3 linked regions of the Drosophila melanogaster genome follow. The gene in region 3 interacts genetically with the main gene of each other region. Each region holds a gene or a part of one and is shown on either strand. Other genes may lie near its edges.

Region 1 (5,323 bases), 9.7 Mb from region 3:
TATTCTACACATGCACTTCTAGCGTCTTATATCAGCAACAAAATCAACCCACGGATGCCCTTCAAGCCTACATATGTGCTGTGCAACTGGATAAAGACCATAAAGCCGCGTGGACCAACCTGGGTATACTTTATGAGAGCTGTGGTCAATTACGAGATGCCTATGCTTGCTACTTAAATGCAACCAAACAAATATCATTCCAGGTAAATTTATATATGCAATTGTAGCCATTTCCAATACCTAACACACTTGTTTTGCTTGAAGAAGTCTTCGTTAATTCGAAAAAAACAAGCAATACGTATGAAAAAGGACACAATTGGACTGTCGAAAGGCCTGTCTCAGAGAATCACTTTCCTGGAGGGCCAGCTCAGTCAAGCACCATTGCCAAGTATTACATCCAAGCGCCGCCAGCTGTGTTCAATCGAAGAAGCTTGGAACCTGCCAATATCATTAGAAATGAACTCTCGCCAACAACAAACAGCGCAGATGCTACCAAGACAGGTCACAAAGCAAAGTCCAGTACAGGTGAATTCCTTAATCCTAAACCAATCAGTGGGCAATCAACTAAATCATGTTTTTAAACAGGGACCGCCACCACCTTATCCGCATAGCCAACTCAGCCAAAGTCCCATACCTTCGAAACGTATTAAGGAAGATGGCACAAGCCAACAAGAAGTAACACAAAACAACAGTCAGACATCAGCGCAAAATCTAATAAGTAAGTGACCAATTTAAATAGTATATATCTTAAAGTATTAAATCACTTTTTAACACTCCAAACAGACATTTCGGAATCTTTAAACCAGCGCAACTTCAACGCCATGCCGGAGAGCAACAAAAGTTCGGAGCAAAGTGTTCTTGACACCTTCGACGACATCTCGAATGATATTTATAAACAGAATGAGAGCATCAAGCTCGAACGTTTGAGCCAGGATGCACTGAGTAACAATGAGGACTCGAGGCATGATTTTATTGGCGGTGACAACGCCGACATCTCGACCACGTTCAAAATACAAATGGACTCGAAGCAGTTGATGGTAGCTGTGAAGCTGCTGCCGATTGATGAACCGCCCGTGCACTGTACCATTTTGCAAGTGAATGCGCCGCCGCCATCTCCGCCCGATTGCCCACCGCAGAAACTGACGCGAGATCAACTCCTGCCTCCCACACCCTCTGTTCATTTAGAAAATAAGAAGCACGCGTTCAGCCCACAGTTGCAGGAGTTTTGCCTGAAACATCCGATTGCCGTTGTACGCGGCTTAGCGGGCGTCTTGAAGCTAGATCTCGGTCTCTTTTCGACCAAAACGTTGGTGGAAGCCAACCCGGACCATAGTGTTGAGGTTCGGACACAAGTGCACCAGTCTCCCGATGAAAATTGGGACACTTCGCAGGGTAAGCGCGTCTGGGCCTGCATTTCCCATCGGTCTCACACAACCATAGCCAAATATGCCCAATATCAGGCATCCAGTTTTCAAGACAGCTTGAAGGTAATGTTCGTTGGGTTGGTTCCTCTTTAACATGAATACAAGTTTACTTTATCGTGTAGCTTATTTTACCGCAGGATGAAAGCGATAAAGGTTTCCCCGGCTCGCAAGCAATGTCGGATTCAGACTCAAAGGACTCGGTATCCAATTCGAACATTGTTCTCAAACGTAAAAAACACAAAATAAACAGCAAAATGTTGAGGTAATAGAAACTCCAAACCATTTATGTCTGCATTACGAACTTTATGAACATAAATTAAATGCTTATTTCGCTTTTTTTTTTAGGTTCGGGACCAACGTGGACCTCTCCGATGAAAAGAAATGGAAACCACAATTAACAGAGCTACAAAAACTGCCAGCTTTTGCGCGAGTTATATCCGCTGCCAATATGCTATCACACGTGGGCCACGTCATTTTGGGCATGAACACCGTTCAGCTGTACATGAAGGTGCCCGGAAGTAGGACGCCTGGCCACCAAGAGAACAACAACTTCTGCTCAATCAACATCAACATCGGTCCTGGCGACTGTGAATGGTTTGCCGTCCCTGACGCCTACTGGGGCGGAGTTCACAATCTTTGCGAGAAGAACAACATTAGCTATCTGCACGGCTCGTGGTGGCCCGTCCTGGAGGATTTATACAAGGAGAATATACCAGTTTATAGATTTATACAAAAGCCCGGTGACTTGGTTTGGGTGAATGCCGGGTAAGCACTGAATATGAAAGGAAGGATGATGTATTAACAATCAAACCTACTTTCAGATGCGTCCATTGGGTTCAGTCGATCGGTTGGTGCAACAACATTGCGTGGAATGTTGGACCCTTGACTGCCCGTCAGTATTCTCTTGCCATCGAGCGATATGAGTGGAATAAAGTGCAGGCCTTCAAGAGCATTGTGCCGATGGTGCATTTAAGCTGGAATCTTGCAAGGAATATTAAAGTGTCTGATACCAAACTTTTCGAGCTGATAAAGTGAGTTAGCAAATGATAGGAATCACCATTATGCAGATACTATAGGGCATACATATGTAATTTGTAATTTTCAGAATGTGTTTGCTGCAAACGTTGAAAAACGTATTGCACATACAAGAGTATGTCAAATCGAAAGGTGTGGAAATACGTTTCAATGGACGCGGAAAGAACGAAGCATCCCATTACTGCGGACAATGCGAGGTATTTAGCGTAGTATTATTAACATATTTATACAGTTTCCAAAGGTGATATGAATGCAGTTTATTTAATCATTTGTGCACTCTTTGCAGGTTGAGGTTTTCAATGTGCTGTTCATCAAGGAGCAGGAGAAACGACATGTGGTCCACTGCCTATCGTGCGCGCTGAAGCTATCTCCGTCGCTCCAGGGAATCGTTTGCCTGGAGGAGTATCGTCTGTCTGAGCTGCAGCGCGTGTACGATTCGTTTACTTTACACAGAACCCAAGGACTAGCATACACTCAGTAGTTGTAATACGAGGAATCATTTTAAGTAATGCAGATTTAATATATGTATATTTTACAACGTACAATATACTCTCTATTGTTTTGATAAAACATAACGGTACGAATATATAGAGATGGGATTTTTCGAATAAAGCCATCAGAGCAGTTTTTTCGGCTATTATGTTTGATAGTCGAAAAAACTGGAGCCCACTTGAGTAGCGAAACTTACCTTATGATGACAATTTTATTATGACTTCAAATATTTAGACCCATCTTTTATAGTTTAATTTAAAAAAAAAAACTTTAAATTTATCCAAAGTTTAGAATGCGTTTTAATTATATATATGAATAAATTTAATTTATAATCTTTCGCAATGACACTGAAATTAAAATCCTTCTTTTTATTGAATTGGCTGTTATTACTTTAGTACCTAAATAAGTTACAGTGTAGAGAGCAACGATAACTGCTGTAAACACGATAAATCAATTGGTTGATATTGGTGTAGCCCTGTTTTTAGCCAGCCATGTTTCTGCGTATACTGTGTCCAACTATGAAATCCCAAAGTGAACTGGCCATTGTGCTCACTTGGTTGGCAGTGCTGGGGACGGCTCAAGATGATGCCGATTACTGCGCCGAGCTATCCACGCAGTCGCTGGCCAAAATTCTGGGACAGGCATTTAATCCGCGCTACATGAGCATCGATCCGCCGGGCGAGCCCGAGGAGAAGAGCTATCATCTGGGATACAAGCGATCGTCGTACGAGCTGCCCTTCTATGCGGACAGTGATGCGATTTCGGTTAGCCACTTTCCCGCCTGGGAGACCAACCACTTTGCGCTGGTAGAGAAGAAGAAGGAGGCACCGAGGAGCAAGAGTCTGCGCACGAGAAGCGCCTTCATGGATCGTGTGGGACATCCGAGAATCGATGGGTTCAAGCAGCGGCCGTGGGAGTGCTCGTCGAAGATCAACTGGATTGACTTAGGCTTAAATTACTTTCCACGCTATATCCGTTCGATCGAGTGTATTGCCAGAAAATGTTGGTATGATCACTTTAATTGCAAGCCAAAATCATTTACAATAAAAGTACTGCGCCGTAAAACTGGCTCATGCATTCGAATAAACGATAAATTGATTTTGATCACCGCAGAGAAGTTTGAGAATGATTATACGCAGCTCTGGATTTGGGAAGAAATAGCGGTTAACTTTTGCTGTGAATGTGTTATGCTATACTAGTAGCGCCATTTAATCAAGATTTAATTAATATACACGTTTAAAATGTCAACAAAAAACTTTAATAGCATTGGGAACAACAGATACCTTAATGGGTCTTGCATCGTACTCCTCGCCATCGATGGAGTAAAACTTCTCGCCCATTTCACCATCCGGATGCAGTTGAATAGTCCTGCTCTTAACCACCAAGCTGGGTAAAATTTTGCTGCACGTGACTTCCGGAATTTGTTTGATAAACTCCCAGCCCGGCTGCAGGGAGCTTATAAACTGACTTTCCAGCTCCGCAAAGTTATCCTTGTTCTGAACACAATTGATGTTAATCTGGCTGGCTTCAGCGCTTCCCTCGAACTTCTTGCTGCAATTGTCGTTCTTGACGAGCGGCCTCTTGGTTTCACCCGGATTATTCTTGTACTTAATGAGGCCTCTGGTGAAGAGGCCAGAAGGCTGGGCGGTCTCCTGGCGCTGCACAGTAGCAGCACAGTCAACGCAGCCAGGACACGGCGGTGTGTACACATAGTCGGTCTTAAGGCTCCAGTTATCGGCAAAGGACTTGGACGCAGCGGAAGCGTAGTGTCGCAGTGGTCCAAAGTACCAGTACTTATCCTTTGCCGCATCGATGTCCTCCAGCAGACCCCAGGACAGACCATTAAGACCGAATATGGGCTTCAATTGGCTATTGCTGCCATCTTCTTCATTGATCACATCAAAGCGGATCACACTCTGGTACTGGCTCTCATCCTTGAGCATAGGTTCAAGGGCTTTCGAAAGACTTTTCACATAGTCGACGTCCTTGACGCCAAAGATGTTGATGCGCTTGGATGCGGACTGCACCGAACGTCCCAGCGGAAGGATGGTGATCGGGCAGAGATTGCCGCGCCTACGCATCAGCCCAGTGACCACCTCCGATGAGGTGCCGTCGCCGCCGGCAACAACAATGGCATCGGGTAGCGTTGCCAACTCCTCCACGTAGGTTTTGGCATGACCAATGTGATTCGTCCGAAGGATCTCCACCGAATATCCAGCTAAATGCAAAACCGGCTCGCAGTAGTTCTTAAACTGAAAATCTATGGCTGGGTTATCATCTTAGTCAGCTGTGTGCCAGCTACTTACAAACTTCTCCGATCTCTTCTTGTTGGCCACCGGATTCATGACCACCAGTACCTTTTTGGGGCGATC
Region 2 (8,620 bases), on a different chromosome or scaffold from region 3:
TTCCTTTTAACCCACAGCCAAAAACGAGAACTCAACAAGGAGACCCAAAACCGAATCGAATCGAATAAGATCCTAAGTCGCTTTGCATTGAATTGAATTGAATTGAATTAATCGTAAACCCACTGGCCCAGTAACCACCCAAGCAAGCAGCAGCTTCAAATTTTCGAGATACTTTACAATGACACCGACAAACTGTCTTAGCAATGAAGAAACCTGGCATTTTTTTTAGTGCAGCTTCATGATCAGCAACCAGCGCTCAGTATTTCCGCTTTTTCCCTCACTGTAGCCCCCACATGGGAGATATTCAGTTTCGAAAGAAAATTGGTAATTTTGAATTAGCTTCCCTAACATAGAGCTTCTGAGATGGACGAAACAGAAACAGAATTTAGACTACGTCTACGAAGTTCACAAGCAATCACATACTACATGTAGTTGATGAGTCCCAAGAACACGTAGTTACTTTGGGTTAGGATCGGATCGAAGATATGTCACAAACACTGGAGATCGAACTTAGTAGTTAACCAACACACATTTGTATACACGTGCCACACAATTCTCTAGCTGTCCCTCAAAACAATTTAAGCCTGAGCTTATATTCGAGCCCAACCACACGACCCACTTGAATTTCCCAACCGCACACCACACAAGTTGAAGAACATACTTATATCCAGAACAATTCTATGGTTTCAAAATGGTTGAACAATTTTGCATAGAGTATTATCGTTAGACGCTGGGCTATAACTTTTCGGTTCTGAGCGTGGATGAAGATGAGATGAAGATAGCAGCGATGAAGTTAAGGAGAGGCAATGCAAATCATAGAAGTATCCCAAAAAAGAAGAACAACCGAACCTACCCGAAAAACTGAAGAACTAACTACCTACCCACAACCACAAATGCAGCCAAGTGGCCAAATTAACTAAGTATTATACCTTAAAGCGAACGATAGATTGAACGAACGGACGAGACGAGATGAGATGAGATGAGATCAGATAGGAGGAGGAACCTTATAGATGACACGGCTTGAGATAGATGTATGTACATTTTGAAGCTCCCCCAACCAGGCTAAGTGTGCCAGAAAACACCAAAAATCGATGAAATGATTAGGAAAAGAATGCTCAAATCAAAATCTTATATTTTACGGTATTACAATGATTAGGAACGATTGAAATGAATTGGAAATGGGGGGTAAAAAAAGAAAACGATACCGACAGAGAGTATCCTGAGATTGAGCTAGGATTTCGAATGATTCGTTTCGTACTTTTACTTGATCCTTTTTTCTTAGCCGATGCGAGCAGATTGTAGCTGTACTCTAAGAATAATTTCACACTAAGATTAAGTAAAAATTTATTGTTGATATTACATAAAAAAAAAAGAAAAGGAAGACGCAGAAGTGAGATGAACACGGTCGCGTAAACCAAATGAATTAGAATTTTTCTCTAATTTCATAAGTCAATGATCATTATGATGATGATATGATACCGAGGGTAACGATGGTAAAGATGAGTTGAAAATGCTTATGATCTCCAATGTCAATATGTGTAGATTGACGCGATTTGAGCTAATTGAGTGAATTGTTATTATAATAATAAATGAAGTGAAATGAATGGATCGGCAGATCGATCGATCGTTTGGGGCGCAGAAGGCCGCGGTGTTAGTAAATATCATTTAAAATAAATGATAAAAATGTCATTATATATACATAGTTTAAACATGGGATTAATAATAATAAATTAAATGAAAAAGAACCGAAGAAACTGGAATGAGAATTAAATAAAAACGAGTAAACACTGAAATACCGAATTTTAAATACATAAGTTTTGAATCATGCATGCTGCAAAGACAAAGCAAAACCCACACAGAAACCGAAACAAAAGTAATAAAATGAACTTCTATATATGAAAAGAGAAAAATATACGAGAGATACAATTTCAACCAGCTTTTGCAATACTTTTCGGAAGCCCTTCCCCCAACGCCTCTTCCAAAAGAAAGACCCCCCCCCATATCAGCAGCAAAAAAAGACTTCAAATCAGAACCTTTTCATTTCTTAGAAGCCAGCAGCGAATTTTGCAGAAATTCCCAATGGCCATTGGAAGTCAAGGCAAATGCGACAAAGCGGATGCCCTGCAGCCATGGCTCTTTGAGCAACAGATACAGATACAGATACATTTGTATCTTGAGCTTCTAATTGAAACATTACACTCGAACTTCAAACGTTGTCGCCCAACACTTTGAGTTGACCCAAATTTGTTAGCATGTTTTCAAGGTAATGCGAATTTGATACTTTCGTTTTCGTTTTTATTTTTCGGCTTACTTTTGGTCTCATTATTAGTTTTTTTTTTGCACAAGTAGTACCAAAAGTTTTTGATTACTGGCCGCCCAGTTCTATGGGAATCTTGCGCAAGTCTGGCCCGGGTAAACTGCAATCATTTCAATCTGCCTCGATTCGGCAGCCCTCCGACTCCCCGCGCCATTGAAGAAAACTGGAAGTTGAACGACGTGCTCGGAAATATTAATAAGCGGAAAAGCTGTCCCCCCAAACGGCAGATGTCAACAATAGATATTTGTGCCAGGCCATTAGCATTAGCCATAGCCACTACCGTTGGAGGAGTAGAACTTCTGCTGGCTGCCAGTCATTGAACTGCAACTGCTGCCAGTTGCTCGGTTGGATCAGACGACACGACGCACAGCAGCAACATGTTGCTGTCGTAGCGCAACATATATTGTTGCTGCTGCTGTAGCTGCTTGAACGGATCGGCTTGTTCTCTCCGGCGATCGAGTTTTTGGTAGCCAGTTTCAGTTAGGTTTTGAGTCTTCGCGCTTGAAGGTGTGCTGCTCGCGTTTTGAGTGTAAGTGCTGCCGCAAATTCCGGCTTATAATTGCAATTGAAGGCACGTCGTCGCTCGTTTTAGTGTGTTTTAAGTCTGTTTTAGTGTTTGCCGTTCAGGGTACTTGACGACTGCCTGTGTGTGTGTGTGTGTACGTTGTTGGTTGTTGAAATCTGCGCAAACGCATGTAATTCGAACCACAGCGATCTATTCATAGATCCGTCTTATCACTTGAGGGCGCCAACCAAGCCGCCGACCTCTGACCCACAAAGCGTTAAAAATCGGAGTCTTAACGATGCTAATGCCAGCCATAAAGCCAGCCAACCAGCCTTGTGCAATGGCCCCCGGTATCAGAGCGATAAGGCTAACCAGTGGCGAGCCACAACTCTAGACCTGCGGATTTGTGTCGACTGGCATATAGAATTAGCCGGAGCTTCAAGCTTCTGCCGAAAATAAAACAAGCCGCTTCTGGCCGATGGTTACGTCAATTTCGATTCGCGTTCGAGTTCTCGTGCAGGTAAATAATACTACCACAAAAGTGGCAAAAGCAGCAGCACCTCAGCAGCAGTCAAGACAACTTTTGTTTAACACCGCTCAAGGAAACAACGCACACGGACCAAGCATAAAATTAAGCGCGATATAAACTGCAGACCTTATGCCCCACGTCTGTGCCCTTCGCCCGGGGTTTACTCCAGACTACTACCACAAAAGAGCTCATGAAATGCGCATAAAGAATCTCCAATTGACTGGGCCGCGGACAACCACGGTGGGAAGCACTGAGAGAAATGTATGCAGGTTTTTTAGGATGTCCAAGAAAAATACACATTATAAAATCTTATTGGATAAATATAGGCCAAATAACAAATCTAATAACGATTTAAATCTGATAAAAGCATAAACAATTGGAATAAGATTCCAAATAGCTCAAAAGAGGAGTTAAGAGCTGACTGATTCTTCTCTTATTCAGTTCTAGTCCTAGATAGCCACACTCTTTTCTCCCAGTGCACAGGGAGTCACAGTTGAACGAGTTGATTTTTAGTTGCCTTTGCTTTGGAGTCCGAGTGCGCGCATTGAATTTTTGATTTAATTCGTCTTCTTCATCTCGAACTCCGGTTCGCGGCTTCTTTTTTTTTTTGGGGTCTTTTGCACAAGGTTATGCGTCCGCTATTGTCAATACCCCCACCGACAAAACTAACTATCATTAAGTCACATAACACATGCCTTTCAAGCGGATCTCAAATTTTGAACCTCAAGTTTGGCAATTGTGCGACAGTTTGATTTTCTGGGTCTCGCGATGGAGAACTAAGCTCATTTGGGCATTAGTTGTTTGCCAGAAGTTGGAAGCCTTCGAAATCGTATTCTATGCCGAGTCAGAATGTTTAAATCCGTAGAGTGATTGCAATCTGTGAGGTTCATCTGTAAGGTCAAGACAGCTGATTGCAGCATTTAGCAAATATTCATGTGTTTATAAAATGTGCAAACAAATATTTCCTGGAATCGCGCCCATGGGCAGTAATATATGTACTATAGGCAAGTATAGACAAGATGCAGTAGTCAAATGTCTCTTTTTCTTTGTTCCATTCACGGCTAGTTTCATTCAGTCACTCTTCCTGCTGTTTTTTGTTTAGTTTTTGCTGCTGGACAAGTTTAGCGACGCCTACATTTTATGGTTCACGTAAATGGTTAACATTTGAGTCTCATCATGGCTGCGTTTGTGTTTTTTTTTTGTCTGGTGCTGCGCTTCAGTGCGTCGGGTCGACAGGTGTGACTCACAAACGTGGCTAACACCCGGCTAACCTCTGTGTTTTTGGCCCATCAAACACGTCGCTCGTTCTGTGATAACGGCTCGAATTAAAAGCTGCCTCGCCAAGCTGTTAGAATGTGTGTATATGTCTGGCTTGGGCCAATTTGTTTGGCTTCCTTGCCGGCCATAATGCTTGGACAGAAAAAAAAAAAAAAAAAAACAAAAACGGCATAACCGGTCCTCTGAAGTGTAGTGGGCCAACTATAGGAAAACGGTTACGAGGCATGCAAAATGTTTTTAGGAAATAATTTGCAAGTCAAAGCGACAGCCGAACCAATTTTGATGGCTATACTTTGTAGCTGCTTTTACGGCCACAGAGCCTGCGGCTAATTGCATCCACTTAAGGTGATCAGAGTGGAGCTACGCAGAGCTCCAGCTCATCATCACCACCAGCTGGTGGCCTCTACCCAAGTCGACTTGGTCGGTTCAAGTTCAGCGCCACTGAAGGTTCATGGCCAATTAGAGCGCGCTTATATTATCGCCCGTTTATGGAGTGGAAAACAAACACGGCGGCCCTGCAATTATTGCTGTTTAGTTAACCCCACTGTATCGCAACTACTGCACTGGCTATAAAATATAAACAAACCACCGAAGTAGCTTGCTGTAAAACTTTCCGGTTTTAGTCTAAGTGAGTAATGAGTTCGGATGGTATAGCGCTGTTTGTACTTGCTTGTCATCAATATGCACATTGCAATCAAGAGTTATCTAGTCACTTGAATAAATTATTGTGGGATAGATATGCCTCATTATTGTTAAATTGCGAATTTTATAAGAGATCGGAATAGGTTGCGTTTGTTTCAATCAATAATATTTTATAGCAAGGGATTATATGGATATGGAATATGGAAACGTTTGCCTAATTCAAGTGTAATCGCTTTAAATTTGCAATATAATATTTCTATTATAATCCTCTATAGATCTAACCTTGAATGCTGAGCGATGCGGTCGTGGCCTGGCCTTTTCTGGCTGCTGACCCTGGCGCTCCTGGCGGATGGAGGTCGTCGCGAGTCCCAGCTCCGGATCGGCAAGGCCATCAATATATTCCTGCGCTATGGCTACCTGGGAATCTCCATGCGTGTGATACCGCTCAATGACAACTCGGAGCCGGATCGCTGGGTGTTTAAGGAGCCCACCAAAAACATCTATAGGGTAAGGGACTTAAGGCAGAGTTAAGCTTACATTTAATAAATTAAATGGCGTTGATGAACTCGGAATTGTTTGTATTAACCTTTAACCACAATCACCATAATTATTTGGAGTATAATCAAAATTTTAAAATAGGGTTTAAAGTTGTTATCACTTAAAACTATTTTTAGTTGTAATTATATTGTTCACTTCCGCCACGTTTGTCGTTAGAATGAGCGCTTATTATATTTGTTTGATCAGATTTAGGAAAACGATCATTATATACGATTATTCAAGTATGTCACTTGATATTTATTACCTGATAATTGAGCTGACTAGACAATTAGATAATTAATGATTTTTTTCTTTCAGAATCTGAGTGGCCTGGCGGAGAGTCATGAAGACACCACGCCCGGAATCTTTCATGGAGACTTTCACATGGAGTTCTGCGAGAATCGGAGGCAACTGTTCCAGGCCTACTTCCGTGACTTTTCCATTGAGCGAATGGACAAACCGTGGGAGGCATTTACTGGCGGATGGTTTCCGGATAATGCGGCCAAGAAGCTGGGCATCAATACATCTTTCATCCAAGGCGATTACTCGTATGTTTTGGTGAGGGTGGTGCGCTTCAGGGAAACGGGGCGTCTTAACGCTGAGATTCCGGTGCACCAACCCTTGGAGCCGGATGTGCGATCGAGAATGGATCAACTGCAAATCGGAAATATAACTTCCGCAGTGCGATTTATGGAAGATGTGGGCACCCACTACGTAAACTCATACACCACCGGCAATTCGCTGTATCAGGTGTTTGTGTACAGCAGGAAGAACTACAGCATGATCAAGGAGCGAATCAAGAGTAAAGGTCTGAACGGACTGTCCAAGTTGGATCTTTACAACTACTTTGCGCCCTGGTTTGCCGCCCATCTGGGCCAGATTCGATCGGCTAGTGCCAATGCTACAGTGGAAAGATGGGCGAGAAGGAAGCTGCAGTACGAGTACTATGTGGTCAAGTATGTGACCCTGCTGAAACTGCACGGTAATAGTACTCTACTGCGATCCCTGGACTCGCTGCTCGGCAACGATGCCATACTGCAGTTGGACCTCAAGTCGCTGAAGCCCATCTTCCGGGAGGAGCCGGAAAAGGAGAGCTGGTACCACGAGGTTCTCGACAACAATGTGAAGCTCTGGGAGCTTAACATGCCGCAGAGTCATCCCACCCGATAGCTGCATTTTAAATATATATATACTGTGCGATATGTGGCAGCCAAGGATCAATAGTTCCTAGATGCTTAGTTGTAGTTAGGAACCTCTAGTGCGTAGTTAATGTTCTGCCTGTGATAGTTTTAGGTAGTTTAATTGGAACACAGTACACATCCGACTTGCATTTCAGCTAACTAGACCGTAAGATCGCCTTATTGATGTAATAGTTTTGTAAACTTTAATACAAAGTAAAGATAAAAGTAAAAATCTTACTGTTTTCATAACTTGATATTGGCTATTAAAATCTAACTGTTTTCATTACGTAATATTGGCTATGAATATCAAATACTATTTTGAAAGTTTATTTTGAATAATTGATTTTGATTAAGAACCGGTAATCGAAACGGGTAAACGGCTCTACCCGTTTCATCAAGGCTTTCAACCAGACTTATTCTAGTTTTCCACCCTTACGTATTTAGTATATGAATCAAGTATATTTTTAATACCGTGTGGTATATTTCAAACGGTTCAGTTACGCTCATACTGAAATCCGAAATAGCACGTGCGGTTTTTGTATTTTGATTTTGATTTTGGGTGATATATACTGGCATGGATATTTTTTCCAATTGTCCGGGCTTTTGCCCCTCCTGCGGCTCCATTCTGCCCGAGCTTCAAGTCAAGGGCAATGTGATTTGCTACAACTGCAAGAAGGAGTTTCAGCCAGATGGTAAATCCAGAAATTACAACTTTGTTTAATTTATTTAACACTTAAAAATAGTTTACAGCGGCGAGAAGTCCGAGTTTACCATACACTTCAACACCTACGATCCCAGCAAGGTGTTCAACAGGACGAAAAGGGAGTCGGAATCGGACGCGGATGGCCCCGTTGTGGAGAGGAAGTGTCCCAAGTGCAACCACGACAAGATGTCCTATGCCACCCTGCAGCTTCGATCGGCGGACGAAGGCCAGACGGTGTTCTTTACCTGCCTTAAGTGCAAGTAGGTGTCCTGATAAACATATTCCTTCACTTCCACAACTAATCACACACATTCTACCTTGCAGATTCAAAGAATCCGAAAACTCTTAGTTGCTAGCAATGTCCGTGTAAATAGTCCTAGATTAATGAAAATAATCATGCTCGACGGCCTGAGAAATATAGAATTTACCAATTATAATACCTAACCGGTGTCAAACTTGAAGCAGAACCCACCTCGCTGGCCTTGAGTCGGTTTTTGGGATTGTAGACCACCAGATTCGAGACCAGATTGATTTCCACCGCATGTGTGCAGCTGGGAAACAAGTTGTCCCAGTGAATGCCCACGGAGTTGGGAAACCTACGTCAAGAATATTACGGATTAAGTAATCATAGACGGTAAGAATGCCTACCGTATCTTGCTGTAATCCGGCAGAGAAGTCAGCTCTGGCCACTGATTCAGACGTGGGCTGCCCAGAGTGCGAATGATGATGGCTAATTGCTCGATGTCGGTGGTTCCCGCAAACAGGGGCACTCCGCGTAGCATCTCCGCCACAACACAACCTGGATAGCAATAATGTCAGCCATAAGGATATATGTAAACCCATCAAAGAGTCATGGCTAACCTGCCGCCCACATATCCACTCCGGTTCCATACTTCTGGCTGCCAAATAGAATCTCTGGCGCTCGATA
Region 3 (5,634 bases):
CCTGGCCAGAAAAGGTACCCGTGCTCGTAGTCAAGGACCCGTTCCGTTCCGTTTCGTTTCGATTCGATTCGAATGTTTCGAAATTCACAAATGTACACTACGAAAAATATTCTTTTTCAACAATTCTCGTTGTTTTCAAATGTTATAAACTTACAGGTTCTCTTTATGTAAACCACTTTGCTATTTATCAAGACACATTTCCAGGACTAAAGTAATACAACTTCAGATAAACTAGTATTTAGTACTAAAATTTTTGTAAGTTAACCATCCAAATATTTGTAGTCAAGTGTGGCGACCTTGTTGGGTCTTGAACTTAGACATTAACATTGACTAGAAAACAAGAATATAACTAGAGCAGGTTTCGCACTTCAGTTTACCGCTGAGAAACTGAGAATTCGCCTAAGTTGGATTCACATGACATCGCCAGTGATGACACCACCGCCCACTGGGCCGCCCTCATGCTGGTGATGATGCAGTTGCTCCACGAGATCAGCGATTCCTTCCACGCCTATGCTCAAAGAGGGCAGCGACTTGTCCAGCACCAAAAGAGAGGGAGGCGACTTGGGCTCACCCTCTTCCATGCCAAAGGAGGACATGCCAATCCCGTCCAGGCACAGTTCATTGGATGATCCGACCAGCTGGGAGTGACCGCCGTAGGCCTGCATCTGGGACTGCTCCATGCTCAGAATGCAGTCCGCCTTGAAGCTGTCGATCGTGAACTGGTCCACGTCCACGCTGAGAAACTTCATCTCGTCGTAGGCGGAGGAGCCATCGGTCATGTCCAAACTCAATGAGGCGGCAAACTCAAGCCCCGGATGAAGCTGGGGATTGTGCTGCTCCTGCTGGTGCTGCTGCTGCTGCTGCTGGTGATGACTCGAACTCCCGGCGTGAATCGGATCGGATGCATGCTGTTGAGGCGGGTGCTGCTGGAGCTGATTGTCGGAGTCCATCTGCGGGTGTGTCTGCGCTTGCGTTTGCGGAGGATATGTGGACCACTCCATGGAGAGGCCACTGCCACCCCGCTCCAGTCCCAAGTGGTCAATGTTGAGGTTGAGAAATATATTCGGTGACAGCCTAGAGGGCGACATGGCCCCCGTGCCGTAGGAGGCCTTAAGTTCGTTATCAAGGGAGTTCGAGGATTGCGGTGGGGTGTCCGGCAATAGAGTTCCACCGCCGCCTGAAATCAATATGGGTCATTACTAGCGATGGGTTGATAGGTAACAGAGATATCCTTTCTTACCCAGCGCACTATCCAGTTGGCCCAGGACGGCGCTGTCGTCGTAGGACACGTCGAGATCCAACGCACCCTCCTTATAATCTCCGCCAAGCCCACCGATCTTCTCCTGCTTGCGCCACTTGGCCCGCCGGTTCTGGAACCACACCTGCACCCTCGCCTCCGTCAAATCGATCCTCACGGCCAGCTCCTCTCGGAAAAACACGTCCGGATAGTGTGTCCGCTGGAACGCCCTTTCCAGCTCCTGCAGTTGCAGTGTGTTAAATGTGGTTCTGCGGATCATTAGGAAAACTAGTGTTAGTGCACCTATAGCTTTAGTAGATACTTATGAAACTAGTCCAGTTTTTGGATTTATACCGCGATATATGTACATTTCGAATGTATCTGCTATACCTGTATCTCCGCTGCTTGCGCTTCATTGTGCCTTTGTCCATGCGAATCCTGAGCTTCCTGTTGGTGAACGTTGACGTTGGCGGAGTGGGTGGCGAGTAGTGGCCACTGAGGTGTGGATCCCGCTCAATCTCAATATCTCCCTCAGCGAGGATGGGGCTCTTCAAGCGCGTCGTGACATAGTCGCCGTGTGTTTTTCTATTTTTTAACGATTTTCGTCGACACTTCGAGGGCTTCGCGTCGCTGCTTCTTCTCGCTTTTCCGCTTCGACAAATTCCACGGCGGAAAAACTGCACAACAACAACGGCGAAAGCACGGATGAAGTCTTTGGAGACAGGCAGCTGCGGAGCTCAGCATAAGTCGCCCACCAGCGGAATCTGCATCTCCTCCGCTCCTGGTTTTTTATTCTGATTCCGATTCCAAGTCCCGACTTCCCTTGCTCGAACCTATGTAGCTGCTGATGGCTAAGCGATGTCAGATTGTCCAGCTGTGCATGTCCAACCTTGTGGCACGGGCACTGTTCTTGCCTCGACGACGCGAATTCGACTGAGGAGGATTTTGGATTTCCACGGGGAACAGTGACAGTGCGTGCTGTCCGTCGACAGAAGCCGTAGAAGTCGACCACAGTCCACTGGCACTCGCACACTCGCGGGCTCCCTACGAACAGGGGTATATACTATGTGCCTAAGAGGTCTGACCCGGTCTAGCCTCTTGGACAGTCGTTCTAGCCGGGCTTGTTATGCCAGTGGCGGTGCTCCTCACCCAAACTGGCCCAAGTGGGAGACATAGTGAGCTCATAATTTATGGCAACTCATGGTGCCTTCGGAGGATGTGCATAGCTGGAAAATGTTTAAGAATTCTACATAAGACTATAAACCACTATTTTTACCATTCATCTGCCTTTGCACATTATAAAAACAATATTCTTTAAACAAGACCATGAAACGGAAATGTCATCCATTTGGGGGAAATCCGACAAGTAAAATACAATCGGAATTGCATTTCCCACAGCTCCTCACTCAAAAGTATGCTATGGAAAAAGTTTCGGAGCCGTTTCGGAAACCAAAAATCCAGAAACCCACCCTGGTCAACGTTATCGATGGGAGGAGATCGGATTGCCCTTTGCCTCTGCACACATGTCTGGGTCAGTGGGCTTCTTTTGGCTACTCCCACCGCCCAAAGTTCTCCACCTCTGCCGGCACTTGAGGCCTTAAAGCCATTTCCCCCATTGAAGCATTGAAAGCAGCAGAGGAGTATAAATAGCCGAGGGACTCAACCCCATCAGCCGGGCCACTTGAGCTTGGCATGGCTTGCCATTGTTGTGGTGTCAACTGTGGAGTCCATTGTTCCATCCTGTCCAGGTGACGAACCGTAATGGATGCTGCTGCTCTCATCTCTGGCACAAAAGGTAATCCGAGAGGCGGCTTTTGTCCTAAATGGATATAAAAGTATGGCGACTCCTTGGCCAGAGCTGCAGAAGGAGTACAGCGCTGGTCAGGCACAGATCGAGCATGATGCCGTGGGTAAGTTTCATCTGGATGAGAGCCGAAAGATATAGAAACGAAATTACAAAGGAGGGCGCACAAGGATATACTCCGAACTGAATTCATTTTAAAACCCTTCCGTTCCAAGTTGCCCATTTCCATTATGGCAATGGCGCTGCTTAGCCTGACAAATAAAGGAATCGCCAGTCAGTACGCCAGCGATGAAGGTTTGGACGAGATGGTGGGTCTAAGGAGTCTGGAACACCGCGCGGAGGAGCAGCAGCCCGATCGCAGTACATCGAAAATGCTCAGTGCCCTATTCGGATTCAGTCCCAGCACTCCACATCCCACAGAGATGGCGATGGTCATGCCCCATCAGCTGCCGCCCATGTACTATAACGATTTCTATGAGGATCTGGTGACCACCAAACGCAATGATGTCCATTCCGCAGGCTGCGACTGCAAAGTTACGGTTCGTTGGGATACCATTCAGCCGCGTCAGATGTTTATAATTATTTTGTTATTCCCAGAATGAGCTCGTGGATCTGGGTGGTCTGCACTTCCCTCGCTTTCTGATGAATGCCGTTTGCGAATCGGGCGCTGGTCGGGATCTGGCCAAGTGCTCGCATGGATCCAATTGCAGGCCACTGGAATATAAGGTAAAGGTCCTGGCACAGACCTCTCAGTCCGATCACCCCTATTCGTGGATGAACAAGGATCAACCTTGGCAGTTCAAAACGGTCACCGTAACTGCCGGCTGCTTCTGCACAAAGTGATTGAAAGGATGTGAGCAACTATCGTGAATGTGAATTAATTGTATATTAAAGCGCCAAAAAGACGTCAAAGTTGCTTTATTGTGGGAGAGATTCGATATGAAACAGATTGTTATTTTTAAGGCATTCTTTTGATTCTTATATGTAGCTTAATGTTCATGTTTGAGCTTTCTCTTAGATAATTTGTCTAGGATATGTCGTGGATGCAATTCGTATTCATCAGCAAAATTCGAAATAAAGCAATAATCAAAATAGCTCTTGTTGTCATTGATGCACGAGTATAAAAACTGTCCCATAAACGTAAAAAATCTAAAAAACTTGAATCCAGAGAAACAATTTTGTTACAAATAAAATGTAAAGTATTAGAAAAGAAACTTCGCTTCGCAAGGCATCAGGATAGTAAATGGCATTACTTCCCAACTGAGTCAAGGCACTTTGACGGTGTAGTTTTAAATGGAGTGTGGAATCTACTTAGCTTATGGACGGCTTCGTTTAAATAATACAAAAAGCGAAATGTGCTTGGTATAGCAAAGGCTCTTGAGGCTAAGAGCGTGGAATGAGCCAAGATCCAAGTCCTAATAGTGCGGTGAGCAGGGTTAAACAGACACCATAGCCTTGTCTTGAAGGAGCGCCACTCTGTAACAATTCCGATTAGTTGGTAGTCCCAGTTAAATGTACTATCTACCCACAATGACAAAGTAGTTGCACCGATCTCCCTTGCAGCACTCGTTGCACGCCCAATCCTCGTACCAGATGTGGGTGCAGTACAGCTGCATATAGCGCTTCCTCTTGGACTGGCACTGCTCCTTGGTCATGCACCTCTTGGACACGTAGTATTGCTTAAGAGCACCCTCCGAGAAGTACGGCTGGGATCCCCAGCGGATCTCCGTTCCGCAGACGTTTTCAAAGGGCTCGCAGGTCTTGATGGTGTTCAGGCACTTCTCCGTGTTGCCCGTCTGGTTGGAGCAGACATAGCACTCCAGACCGGCCACGAAATTTACTAAAAATATGTTATTTATTCGAGAGGTTCTAAATATTTTAAAGGTGTGGCCCAAAGTCGGGCTTCAAAAATGAAACTTACCTTGCGAACACAAGTAAACAGCGGCGACTAGCACCACAGCTATCTCCCACGATTTCATCGTATATCTGGAGTAATTAACGCAATCGGAGCCGATAAGCTCAAAGTAAATAAACAAGTCAAATTAACAAACAAAACCACTCCCAAAAAAACATTAGCAACAAATTAGAAGAACGCGCGTTCTGCAACACCAACTTCAAGGCGCTTTGCAGCACTAAACATGGCCAAGTGCTGCCACCTGTGGCGCTTGCTTATTAATAACTTTTAAGTGGATAAATAATTGAGAGACACGTTGTTTGAAATATTTATAAACCAAAAAGAATTAATAATAATTTTTTTAACGTACCTAGCTAATAGTTCATTGTCGCCTTGAAATGATTGCATCTTGCTAACATGTTCCCGCCAAAAAGGCCAGACCCTGGCGGGTAGCCAGCCGGTTAGTCATCACTGGTTCAGAGCGGTAAGTGCGCGCTACGTTTTCTGTGCGACATTTGCAAAGGCAATCCGATTGCCGCCTTCAGAGGTGCTGCTCCTGGACCAGACTACTGGACTACTACCGCGCCGTCATGGCCAAGAGTGATCAGGAGCTTCCCGAGGGATTTCGCCAGCTAAAGACACAGGTTGCGGGTCACACATTCGAGGAAAGCAACGCGGAGGCAGTGGGTCTTCTGCAGG

Evidence for each region.
Region 1: of Ptth (region 3) and trk, changing one suppresses a phenotype caused by changing the other (phenotypic suppression), as found in Drosophila melanogaster (one study listed by BioGRID).
Region 2: of Ptth (region 3) and tsl, changing one enhances a phenotype caused by changing the other (phenotypic enhancement), as found in Drosophila melanogaster (one study listed by BioGRID).

Annotation. Positions count from the first base shown.
Region 1 is NT_033779.5:10,270,329-10,275,651, reverse strand, and holds trk (trunk), read left to right. Parts: upstream 1-3,327; 5' UTR 3,328-3,442; coding exon 3,443-4,150; 3' UTR 4,151-4,195; downstream 4,196-5,323. Other genes in the region: Utx histone demethylase, read left to right, coding at 23-203, 265-525, 586-718, 784-1,487, 1,547-1,686, 1,770-2,189, 2,246-2,455, 2,530-2,656 and 1 more; Mulk (Multi-substrate lipid kinase), read right to left, coding at 4,196-5,203, 5,258-5,323.
Region 2 is NT_033777.3:21,776,710-21,785,329, reverse strand, and holds tsl (torso-like), read left to right. Parts: upstream 1-2,793; 5' UTR 2,794-2,846; exon of another isoform or gene 2,847-3,342; intron 3,343-3,424; exon of another isoform or gene 3,425-3,612; intron 3,613-5,546; 5' UTR 5,547-5,568; coding exon 5,569-5,778; intron 5,779-6,126; coding exon 6,127-6,978; 3' UTR 6,979-7,216; downstream 7,217-8,620. Other genes in the region: Polr1H (RNA polymerase I subunit H), read left to right, coding at 7,564-7,681, 7,733-7,952, 8,017-8,041; CG6800 (uncharacterized protein), read right to left, coding at 8,117-8,288, 8,341-8,491, 8,554-8,620.
Region 3 is NT_033779.5:574,027-579,660, reverse strand, and holds Ptth (prothoracicotropic hormone), read left to right. Parts: upstream 1-2,764; 5' UTR 2,765-3,060; coding exon 3,061-3,147; exon of another isoform or gene 3,148-3,256; coding exon 3,257-3,580; intron 3,581-3,638; coding exon 3,639-3,884; 3' UTR 3,885-3,950; downstream 3,951-5,634. Other genes in the region: Pph13 (PvuII-PstI homology 13), read right to left, coding at 411-1,177, 1,241-1,506, 1,628-1,668; cold (coiled), read right to left, coding at 4,425-4,517, 4,571-4,881, 4,963-5,020; Ipk2 (inositol phosphate kinase 2), read left to right, coding at 5,526-5,634.